2 linked regions of the Caenorhabditis elegans genome follow. The protein of the gene in region 1 purifies or fractionates together with the protein of each later gene. This does not show direct contact. Each region holds a gene or a part of one and is shown in the gene's direction. Other genes may lie near its edges. The genes, in order: C03B8.3 and W07G4.2.

Region 1 (7,456 bases):
CTGGGGTCTAAAACGGTCAGATGATTCAAAATAAAGAAGGGTATCTGTAAATGGATACTGTACACTGAAAATAATAAAATGTTCTGTCGCGTAAGTACAGACCCCAAAAATTAGGCAGAACTTTCGAAAACTGTGCAAACACACCAACCAGTTTTATTATCGTAATTTCGCAACAAATTTCACTCGTCAGTTTAAAGGCACACGTTGTTTTTCTGAGCGGGTCTCGCCACGATCACAGTCATAGTGATCGCTACAGGTGCCACATTTTTCAGATTTATTCATTTGAAAAAAGTACATTGTTAAATTCTATAGATTTGAACAGTATACAGCTCCGAAATTAGAAAACAGCTAAAGTGGAAATTCGAGCAAGCCCACATTTGAACCCAATGAGCAGGAAAAATAAAATAAAAGCAAGAAAACTTAAAGAAGCGCTCAGTCAAGAACTCTGCAACTATAGTGTGGTCTTGCAGCGATAATTTTACTGTACTCTAAACTATATTTATTTTCTCTAGAAAACAAAATAATATTCAAAAACACACTACACATTTTTCCGGTCCCGTGTGTGTTAATGTTCACCACGGCGCACAATTGCGGACACTTCGCGGCGGTCAATACAATTTTAGGCCACTGCAGGGAAGAGAGAAAGTGGGCGGCGGCAGCCCGCGTAAATAACCAGCCACACACGAAACGAGACTGAATAAATGAAAAACCGCGACGCAGCCGCTGTGCACGATTTCTCGTTTGGGATACCTTCAGAAAATTTACAAAAGTGAGGAACGGGTGGCGTGACCGCGACGCGACCGCAACGCAGAATCAATAACTCCAAAATAGGATTAAAGTTTAAAAATCAGTCAATAAATAACTTTGAGAAGAGAAATTAGGATAGAATTAAGATTCGATATTGATTTGAAAAGTTAATACTGGGCTTAGGAAAAGTTAATACTGGAACTTTGCAATATAAATTAATTTGTAGTGTTACTAAAAGAATTTTAATTTTGAAATTTTAGAAAAAATTAGAAGAACAATAATCAAAAAACTAAACTTTTGGATTTACTGAAAACATTTGAAAAGGGAAATGTAAATAACTGTAGAAACAGGAAAATGTCGAGCAATGCGAATTTCGGTAGAGCGCACTTCCATAATTCGAAAACCGCAACGCGCACGCAACGCACAGGATTTACGGAAACAGGAAAGGAGGAACCAAAAATTCGGTTTCGCGCACGCTTATTTCGCAACCCTCGCGCGTTTTTTTTTCACAGCAAGGTTAGAACATTTTAAGAAAAAAAGCATGCGGGGGTTATGAAAACACACTACCGAAAATAAATAGAATGAATTTCGAAAATTATTTTCACCGATATCATTTGCTACAGCTGTTGAAGCTTCAACTATGAGTACAGTTATGCGGAAAAATACTTTTTAAAAATTAATTTTTGGGACTACAAAGTCTGTATTTTAAACTACCATTGGTACGATGCGGTGCGAATCGGGAGGTGGTCTTCATTAGAGCGCGATTGTTAATTCAACCGCGACGTGCACGCGACGCTCTCAAAAAATGTTCAAAATTTGAAAATAAGAGAGAAAAAAACACGCCAGCTGACAACTGCGTCAGCAAAACTGGTCTTGGTTCACATTGGCAGTGCGTACAACACACCTTATCTTACGCGCAAGTTGGATATGATTTTCCAGGCGAGACCCGACTGAAGATGTACGCTCACGCGAAAAATACGGATTTTATTTGTTTTGATAACTTCGGATGGAAAAAAAAGAAAAAAACCAATTTTGTTAAATTGTAAAAATAGTTAGTATAAAACGCGTAACGATAATTCATTTCTCATTTTTTTCAATTTACAACTACTTGTTTCAAGGCTAGCAAAGATACCGTATGGATAGGTGAGTATCGATAGAATTTCTCGAGTTAAAAAAATTAGTTTAAAAAAATTTAACTTTTATCAGATCAATAGCAAAAATGTTATCAAACCAACAGATTCGCAATTTTTCACGCGGAGTTGGTCACTTACGTAGAAGAGCTGCAAAAAATAACGTGATAAAAGTTAGGCCTGAAGAGTAAGTCTAAATCATTTACCCAATTCTTGTAACTTTCCTGAAAGTCCTATTTGAAAGTTTAGGCTCCGCCCATTTTTCAATCAATATTCTGTTCTTCCGAATGGAATACAAAACGATGCAGATGCAAAGCTTTTTTCCAAGGAGCTCCAACCGGGAGAACGGAAACTTTTATTTGATGCTTTGAGAAAGATCAGTGAGTTCTTGCTAAGCAGCTACCTTAAAATAAAAAAATCTTACAGCCGCCGATCAGTATAATGATCACAAAAAGGTGGTAGAAGTTACTATTGATCATGAAGATTTAGTAAAAGTCTGGTATATAAATTTCATTCCAATGTTCGTTTACGGATGTCTCGATGAAGCATTTTTAATCATTGGCGGTGAAAGCATCAACAAGTAAGCTCGCAGAAAAAAATTTCGACCACGGCAGGATTCGAACCTGCAATCTTCTGCTCCGTAGGCAGACGCGTCACAGGTAAAGCGCGACAGGTTAGTGGCAGCTGAATGGCAGGTTAAAAGCCGCCAGCAGGTTAGTGTCAGCTTAGTATCAGGCTAAAAGTCGCTGTCGGACTAAGAGCAGGTTAGTGTCAGCTTAGTATCAGGCTAAAAGTCGCTGTCGGACTAAGAGCAGGTTAGTGTCAGCTTAGTGATTTTCGCTCAAATTTTCAGAAAAGCGCGTCAGGTGAACGGCGAGTAAGTGTCAGGTGATGGGTCAGACGAGTGAAAATGGAAGTTTCAGAAACTGAGTGAAAGTTCATAAAAATGAGTTATATGTTCATTCGTGTAAATTTCTGAAAATATAATTTCCAGAAATACAGATTCGGGGTTACCGCACCGGATCATGAACCGCGTCAGGCGAGTGTCAGGTTAAGAGCAGGCTAAGAACCGGCAAATGGTAACTGGCAGGTTACTGTCAGGCAAAGTTTTCTTGGCTCAAAAACATTTTTCAGTACGATCTGTTACGTTTTAGGGAAATTTTCGAAAAGTAAAAAATGTCTGAAAATAAATATTTCCAGAAATACAGTTTTTTGGTTACCGCACCGAATAATGAACCGCGTCAGGCGAGTGTCAGGTTAGGAGCAGGCTAAGAGCCGGCAAATGCCAACTGACAGGTTACTGTCAGGCAAAGTTTTGACTGAAACACCAATAATGAATGGATAAAACTGAATGTTAAAAAATATTTTGCTTGGGTAGGAAATGTTTATTTTAGTATTTTCCAAAGTTTTCATGGCTCAATCACACTCCTGACCAAAAAAATATCACTGTCAATTTGGCGTGTTCATAGAAAGTCAGTACTTCCAAATCCGAAGGTCCCCCCTTATGAAAATTTTCTAAAAAATTTTTTCGAAATTTTTTTTTGAAAACTTTTCATAATTTGATCAGATGTTATAGAAAAATGTAAAATTAATTGTTTTTTTCAGCTTCGATGTTCTGAACACGAGTTCAAACAAAAACCTGAGGTATTGTAGAACTCCAACTACAAAGTTGTTTATTTTAATCTAAAGTACAATTTTGTAGTTGAGGATATTTCATCAAAAAATTTCATGGTCGAGATAAAGTTGTGTGAAATGCAGCAACTTCATGCTTGTATTTTCTTCTTCTTTTTCTGTTTGTATCTCGGCCATCAAATTTTTTGATAAAAAACGATTAACTGCAAAATTGTACTTTATATTAAGATAAACAACTTTGTAGTTGATCACTTTGTCATAAAAAATTATTACACGGAGATATCAGCATCCGAAGTGAGTGCGTTTTTTGAACTTAGGAGTTCTACAATACCTCAGGCTTTTGTTTGAACTCGTGTTCAGAACATCGAAGCTAAAAAAACAATTAATTTTACATTTTTCTATAACATTTGATGAAATTATTAAAATTTTCAAAAATTTTTAAATTTTTTTTTGAAAACTTTTCATAAGGGGGGACCCTTTGGATTTTTTTTCAAGAAAATCCAAAAAAAAAATGTTTTTTCAAAAGTTGTCAAATATTTATCAGATATGGTAAAAATATGTTTTCCTAACTGCATCTATGTACTTTCTTGCAAAATGTGGTGCTTTCGAAAACTAAGAAACTGTAAAAACCTCTATTCCTCTAACTCATCTACCTACTATGCCAGTCATTCGAAGTCATGTCCCACATCGGGCAAGCAAGATATCAAAAAACTGTCAACTACAAACTTGATCAGGTTGTTATGGAACATGTTTCATGTTTCATAGTTTCTTGCTTTCTGTGCAGAGTACGGAGATATCATAAGTCAAAAAATAGTAATATTTGATTCATAATTAGGTGCTCCTACCTGCTCAGCCATCCGAGATCGCAAAAAGTTACAATAAGTAATTTGTCAATCCCGTTATTCCTAACAACTTTTTAGTTGACAAGTTTTTCATATTTCAGCTGCCTGCGGAGCTAGAACATTTTGGATGTACTGACTTTCTATGAACAAGCCAAATCGACTGTTGTATTTTTTTTGCCCAGGAGTATGATTGATCCATGAAAACTGTGGAAAATTCTAAAATTTACATTTCCTACACAATCCAGCAGTATTAAATTTTTTTGGAAGAAAAATATTTTCCCAAAACTTTTTCATAAGGGGGGACCCTTATTAATTTTAAAATTAGTGGAAAATATTTTTAATTACATTTTACTGAACTCAATTTTTTTCAATTATTTGTTGGTTTTAATCACAAATCACATTTACGACTCAAAGTGATTTTTTCTTTTCTACGAATTCAATATAAGAGCGAGAAAGCATTTCAAAAGAAGCTCCAAACTCAGATGGCAACGACACTCCGAAATAACGGTAGCGCGCCCTCTTTAGCGTAAATCCTCCTCATTTTCGAAATTATTTGTTCACGATTTTTTCTTCTTTTTCTTCGTTTTTTCTTTGTTTTCTTCATCAATTCTTTGATTTTTCGGCAAAAATAATTATTTCCCGTATATTTATTGGTGTTTCAGCATTTTCGACATTGACGCGAACGATTGGGATGGCACGGAAATAGCTGGATGAGAGAATTACCGGCGGTGGCGACAACATTGCTTCGCGAAAAACTAAAGATGGAAGAAAAGGTTAGAGTTGAACTCAAAAATGAAGTTATTCATAACAATTTATGTTTTCAGAGTCGTGCAGAGTCGTCGCCTCTTCGACATTGACCACAAGCGTCCGCTAAACCACCTCATCCTTCCATTTTGATGAAAATCAACGTAAAAAGGAACTAAAAAATGAAGAAGCTTTGAAGTAGATTCAAAAGAAAGTAGAAGTCCTCGTGGATCTTGCTCTCCCAATGTTCAATATTGATAAAATGCGATTTCAACTGGTTGGAATGACGTCGATGATGATCACAGTGTATGTTCATAATAAAATATTTCAATGTAATGTAAATTTTAAAAAATTTAGAAAATACGACGAAATCTTCCCACCAATCGAGTACCCGACATTATTTTGATGGATTGATTCTTGATTGGAAAGTTCGAATTTGTCGTCGCTAAGCCCACACCATCTTGGCTCGGATCATGCTTTGCAAAGAGAATTAACCTTACAAAGTGAGTTTTAAAATCATAATTTTTTAGCGTTTGGAAAAAACTAGTGATTTCTCTCAACTTTAACGTTAATTTTTTATAGAAAAATGCGGAATGCTGTCAAACTCCTCGAACTGTCGCTGATAGATGATCATTTTCTACGTTACCGCCCATCTGATGCTGCTCAGAATCACAGAATCAACAATTCGACCAAGTGGCTGCTAATGATGGATCCAAGGAATCGGGAATCGAGACGAGGTTTACACTAAGCCGAAATATTAAATAATATTTATGTTTTTTTTTTCCTTTTTTCAGATTTATTTTTTCATTTTTCATGTTCAATAAACAAAATTTTTGGCAATTGTTCTCTTTTTGTATTAACATTTAATAACAAAAAGCAGTATTCCCGGTATATATGGGCCTAATACGGAATCTAAAATAACCTGACACAAACCTGACGTTGACCTGTTGCCGGCCCGCGGCGGCTTAGTGTCAACTTGACAGCGGGTCGCGATTTCACCTGCCAGTTGTTCTCCATTCAGCAGCCAGCGACCTGCTGGCAGGTTGCCACTAACCTGACACGCTTTACCTGTGGTTATCCATTGCGCCACGCGGCCACATTTATTTCTCTCACAAAGGCCACTCATTAATGCTGTGTGCGTACCGAGAGAGTAGCAATGTTTCAGTATCTTCTCGGTGTACAACGGCATGTCAATGCTTGCCTCTGCAGCTGTTGCCAACATCATCTGCAACCTGTTCCTCCAACTGCCTGCTGACAGAATTAATGATGTTCTTGGGTTCAAGTAATTATTTCTGCAGTTGTTGACCTACAGTAACCTTTTTCAGAAAGCCAGTACTTTCTGTAGATCAAATGAATATTCCCGAATATCAATACGCTGCGTTTGGAGCCAAGGTGAGTATGGATCGAGTAGTCATGCAAAAAAGGAAAAGTTAATTATTCGATCGGGTGACGTCACATATTTGTTTCCAGAGGAACTACATTGAAAAATGGTTGTGACGTCACGCTTCCCTTAAACCGGAGATTGCCACGCCTTCAAATAAGACACCCTTAATTCTCTTTTTCAGTTGAGTGGATTATGGATGGGGTTAACACTTGGAATGTTGCCATTATTCTTCATCGATGACAATTTAGACAATCGGGCTTCTGATAATGGAGATTTATTAGTATCTGTGGCTAATACGAACGGAGATGAATATTGTGAACTGTTTTGTGGTGATTAAATGGTTTTGATCTCTTCTTGCTATAATTATATTTATTTCAAAAATCACGAACTTGTTGCCTTGTTTTTCGAAAATCTGCAAGTGCCACACGGTCCTATGGGCGTGGCCAATTCATCTAATCTCTGGAATTCTCCCGTTAGTAATCTTGAATTCTTGATTTCTTGGCATTTTGTCGAAACATTTTTCAAAACATTCTAGAAATTCAAACCAGTAGCTACACTCCAGATTAACATATTTTAGAAAACTTGAAAATTTAACAAAATCTTTGCCTGGAAATTCTGAAAAATCTAAAATGTTTTAGAGCGTGTTATTATGCTATCTGCAAATATTGGACTATTGTAATTTTGTCTATATTAATTCCCACGCTTTTATTTTGAAATTTAGTAATCATTTTCTGAAATTTCAGTAACTTTTATAACATGCTTATAATGTATTTATTGATTTTTATGAATGGAAACCATCACAACCTCTACGGAAGCTCGTTAGGTAGGCGTTACAGTAGCACAAGGCATCATTTTGAATTTCACACATACATACACTTCCTAATAATACTAGAACACATCTTTCATATTTGAAACTACAGATTTTCAATTTTTTCTTATGGTGTGCAATATTTTGGTGACAAACGGGTTACTGTAAC
Region 2 (4,170 bases), on another chromosome or scaffold:
TTTTGTAAGTTGAATAAAGTTTTAAACAACCTATTCAAACATTTTTGCGCCTTTTTAAAGTGATTTTATTCTTATTCGGGAACCTAGAATCATTGTCCGCACTTTTTGGAAATTTTTATTTTTTTCATTTTTGCTCAAAATTTCTTGATCAACTCCAAGCAAAAAAATCAAAAAATTTCATTTTTCTAAACAATTATGAAATTGCTATGTTGTTGTTCAGAAATGTATGAAACGTACATTACACAAGTTTTAACTCTCTATTCGCAAGTAAACCGTCGAAATGATCTACATCTCACGAACTTTGTGCAAAATATTTAACCAACTTTGAAGTTGCATAACTTCGTTGAGATAAATTATTGTGAAAAATGATCAACTAACAAAATGTTTGTTGAATAACAGTGAACAAAGTTTTAGTTATAAACTTTTTGATACCTTCAGCCACCAAAAAGTTGTGACCGTTTTCCAAAACACAATGTTAATAGAAAAACTAGCCAAATGCCAACCTTGTTTTCTTCTTTGTAGCTGGAGGTATCAAAAAGTTTATAACTAAAACTTTGTTCACTGTTATTCAACAAACATTTTGTTAGTTGATCATTTTTCACAATAATTTATCTCAATGAAGTTATGCAACTTCAAAGTTGGTTAAATATTTTGCACAAAGTTCGTGAGATGTAGATCATTTCGACGGTTTACTTGCGAATAGAGAGTTAAAACTTGTGTAATGTACGTTTCATACATTTCTGAACAACAACATAGCAATTTCATAATTGTTTAGAAAAATGAAATTTTTTGATTTTTTTGCTTGGAGTTGATCAAGAAATTTTGAGCAAAAATGAAAAAAATAAAAATTTCCAAAAAGTGCGGACAATGATTCTAGGTTCCCGAATAAGAATAAAATCACTTTAAAAATGCGCAAAAATGTTTGAATGAGTTGTTTTACAACTTTATTCAACTTACAAAAATAGAAGGAATCGAACCAAAGCTTAAATCTTATCAGACGCGCGCACTCCCAACTCGGCCACCGAGGACATTTTTCAACTCAATGTTGTGGGTGTCACATTTTCGGTGGTCACGCAAGCTGAGATTTGCGTGGACTGCATGGTAAGACAGTGGATTTCAATGGTGTTTTTAACTGAATTTTCAAAACGTCATAACTTTGCTGAAACTTGACCGGGGCAGCTAAATTTTTTGGAGAGATCATAACTAACACTCTTCTGTAGGAATTTTAGCATGAGAACCCCAAATCTACGGACCCCCTCAAAGACTTCCCTTGTAAGTACATCAAACAATTTCCTGTGATTCTATCCATTAACGTATTCTATTCATGTTTTTCTTTCTTTTTCTCATTTCCTTCGCTTCCAAACAAAAATTGCTCGCATTTCATGTTCTTTCTTTTCAAAAAAATTATGATGGTTAAAATAAAACTTTAAAAAATGTACACTTGGTTTTACTATTGAATCGTCGGACCCATGCTGTGTTGCTGTGGTGCAAAAGGTAATTTTTGACACTAACAAAAGTTTAGGCAAGTAGGTAGGCATGAGATAGGCTCGTAGGCAAATATGGGAAGGTACGTAGGCAGACTTGAGGTATGTTTGAAAACAAAATTACACTTGATGTTCTTTTGGGACAAAAATGTGCAGCCCATACATGTTGGACTCATGCTGTGATTCGATGTATTGGAAAGGGATCACATCAATTACGAAACATCGAAACATGCATTTTGTAACTACTCCTGTTTCATCTCTTCTTCTTTCAGCTTTACTAAATGACCGAAATTCAACCACCAACACCCTCACTTCTTACGAAAATGTTCAAAACTCGGTTATTTGTAATTTTTCTGATATTAACTGGTAGGGTAATAGGAACATTCAAAAGTTCAAACTTCCAATTACAGTAATAATTCTATCTACAAATGTTTGCAATAGAACTACGTTACCAATGTAAGTCCAAACACCGATAATTATTTCAAGACACAATAAAAAAAGACATAAATATAGGTAGGCTTGAGGTAGGCACATAGACAGATAAGAGGTATGTAGAGGGGCAGGGAAGCGCTTGGTGCGTAGATAAAGTGGGAAGGTTTGAAGTAGGCATGAGGCGGAAGCGTACTACCGAATAGGTGTTTGTCTATTTAACCCAGAAATTTGGCCTTATTCTATAAAACTGTAGACATTTTCAAATGTTTCAGAACTTCAGAGTATTTCACCAATTCTAATAAAAACAAGAAATATCTTTCAAGCAGGCTCGCAGCAGGAATGAGATTAGGTATTTGAAAAAAATCATAAAATTTAAAGAAATAAGTTTCAGGAAATCACATTTTTGAAATGGCTGCTTTATTGGGAATGTCAAGGCAGCTACATCGTAAATCCTTGTTCTTTGTGGAAGATAAAACTTATTTGAATATGTTGAACAAAGTGAAAGAAGCTATTCCTGGATTGATAGATCAATTTGAAATTGTTTATGGAACGGTTTGTTTAAAAATAATATATAGTTGAATTTGAAAATTGTTAAGGTTCCACCACCAACACAATTCATCAACTTCAATTCACGATGTTGTGTCTACGTGGAACCAACGATTCTTGAAAATAATGAAGATCAGTATTTACATTTAGCTGGATACTATTATCAGGTTCTAATGACATTATTGCTATTATAAATCTAAAATTTAGTCTTGGAAGTATTTCCCTTCAATGCAACATGAACTAATCAAATATTTGAAGCCAAATGTAAAAAGTGAATTCGGAAAGTTGCCAAGATCAAAAAATAACTCCTACATGTTAGTTTCCGCTCAACTTTTTATCGTAGATTAAACACTTATTAGAATTTGTGCACACACACGAAGAGGAGACTTTGTATGGGGTGATTTTGCTGCATCGGATCCGACTTTTGTCAGACGGGCGGTTGAGTTTATTGAAAAGAAAAGTATATAATTTTTGAAAAAAATCATTTAAAAAACAACTGAAACATTTTTTAGAAGCCCTAGAAAATTTAAAATCTCGCATTGTCTTATTTGGAGATGATTTCAAGTTTATGAAATCCATTTTCAAATATTCGATTCTCCAAGGTTCAAACACAAGACACTTCATATCTCATAACTCTCCATCCGATGATTTGATTTATTCAAGAGATCACTGTGATACGGTTTTAATAAGTGGTATGAATTAAATATCAAATTGAAATTGTATACATATGATTCAGCTCCTCACTCAACATTTGGCTGGTGGATGGGATATTTCTCTAAAGGAAATGAGGTTTTCTATATGGATATAAGAGAAACCAATGATTTCAGTTTTGTCAGTAAATAGCCGTACATGAAACTATAACATGTAAAATTTCAGAGAATTGGAGAGCTGAGCCCATATGATTATTTTATGCCGAATTGGACACCACTAAAGTTTTCTTGTGATAATTTAACGATTGTTGAAAGTGTCAGATAGTTTTGAAAAGTTTTTTCTATCCGAAAGTTTAGCTTTACAAATCCCAGAACTTCACCGCATTTTCCACTTCAATGAATCGTTTACAATATGAAGCTTGACAGTTGTTATGACCATTAGAGTAGACTAAATTGACCTAATTTCTACTAACTTGTAATATAAAAAGGAAAACAGCTAGAAAGTATTCATAAAAATGAAATTCGTTCTACTTTTGGTATCACTTTTTGGAATTGCAAAATGTCGATTAATGTGTGGAATTGATCCAATTCTAACAAATTGGATGGAGATTTCGATCAAATTGGACTGTCCCGCCATTTTAGGTAAGTGATCAGCAAGAGTGAACCCTTGTAAGTGAGCAATATTTTCAGAACAACATCGAACTTGTTGCCTCGCCCATGGTTGGTGTTATGTATATAAAAAGGCAACAATGGAAGCATGTAATAATGAATATTGTCGTTGTGTTAGTGTTCTCGCAAATGAAGGTGTTTGTAAGGTACTATCAACTGAACTATCTTCAACTTTAAAACTAAGTTAATGTTTTCAGACTCATTCTGATAACTTCTGTATGAATGTGAGAAACATGGGACCAATGCTCTGGCCGACAATCAATGAAAATGGAATGGCTTTTTGAGTTTTTCTTGATAATGTTGGAAGTTATAACAATTCAATGTAATAAAATAATTTATTTGAAAATTGTATTAGTTTTGCAATAATAATAATTAGCCGATGTCATCTA

What was found.
Region 2: the proteins of C03B8.3 (region 1) and W07G4.2 fractionate together in Caenorhabditis elegans (co-fractionation; one large-scale study listed by BioGRID). This does not show direct contact.

Annotation. Positions count from the first base shown.
Region 1 is NC_003281.10:7,710,485-7,717,940, forward strand, and holds C03B8.3 (TMEM65 family protein), read left to right. Parts: upstream 1-1,824; 5' UTR 1,825-1,882; coding exon 1,883-1,890; intron 1,891-1,953; coding exon 1,954-2,064; intron 2,065-2,126; coding exon 2,127-2,257; intron 2,258-2,303; coding exon 2,304-2,457; intron 2,458-2,467; exon of another isoform or gene 2,468-2,531; intron 2,532-5,061; coding exon of another isoform or gene 5,062-5,124; intron 5,125-5,175; coding exon of another isoform or gene 5,176-5,401; intron 5,402-5,452; coding exon of another isoform or gene 5,453-5,598; intron 5,599-5,677; coding exon of another isoform or gene 5,678-5,843; intron 5,844-6,260; coding exon 6,261-6,377; intron 6,378-6,420; coding exon 6,421-6,487; intron 6,488-6,660; coding exon 6,661-6,816; 3' UTR 6,817-6,830; downstream 6,831-7,456.
Region 2 is NC_003283.11:13,034,162-13,038,331, reverse strand, and holds W07G4.2 (L-Fucosyltransferase), read left to right. Parts: upstream 1-1,765; coding exon 1,766-1,850; intron 1,851-1,894; coding exon 1,895-1,940; intron 1,941-2,188; coding exon 2,189-2,265; intron 2,266-2,307; coding exon 2,308-2,468; intron 2,469-2,512; coding exon 2,513-2,629; intron 2,630-2,669; coding exon 2,670-2,776; intron 2,777-2,821; coding exon 2,822-2,922; intron 2,923-2,974; coding exon 2,975-3,154; intron 3,155-3,198; coding exon 3,199-3,293; intron 3,294-3,338; coding exon 3,339-3,437; downstream 3,438-4,170. Other genes in the region: W07G4.7 (Secretory peptide), read left to right, coding at 3,628-3,754, 3,803-3,927, 3,979-4,065; W07G4.1 (FIP (Fungus-Induced Protein) Related), read right to left, coding at 4,168-4,170.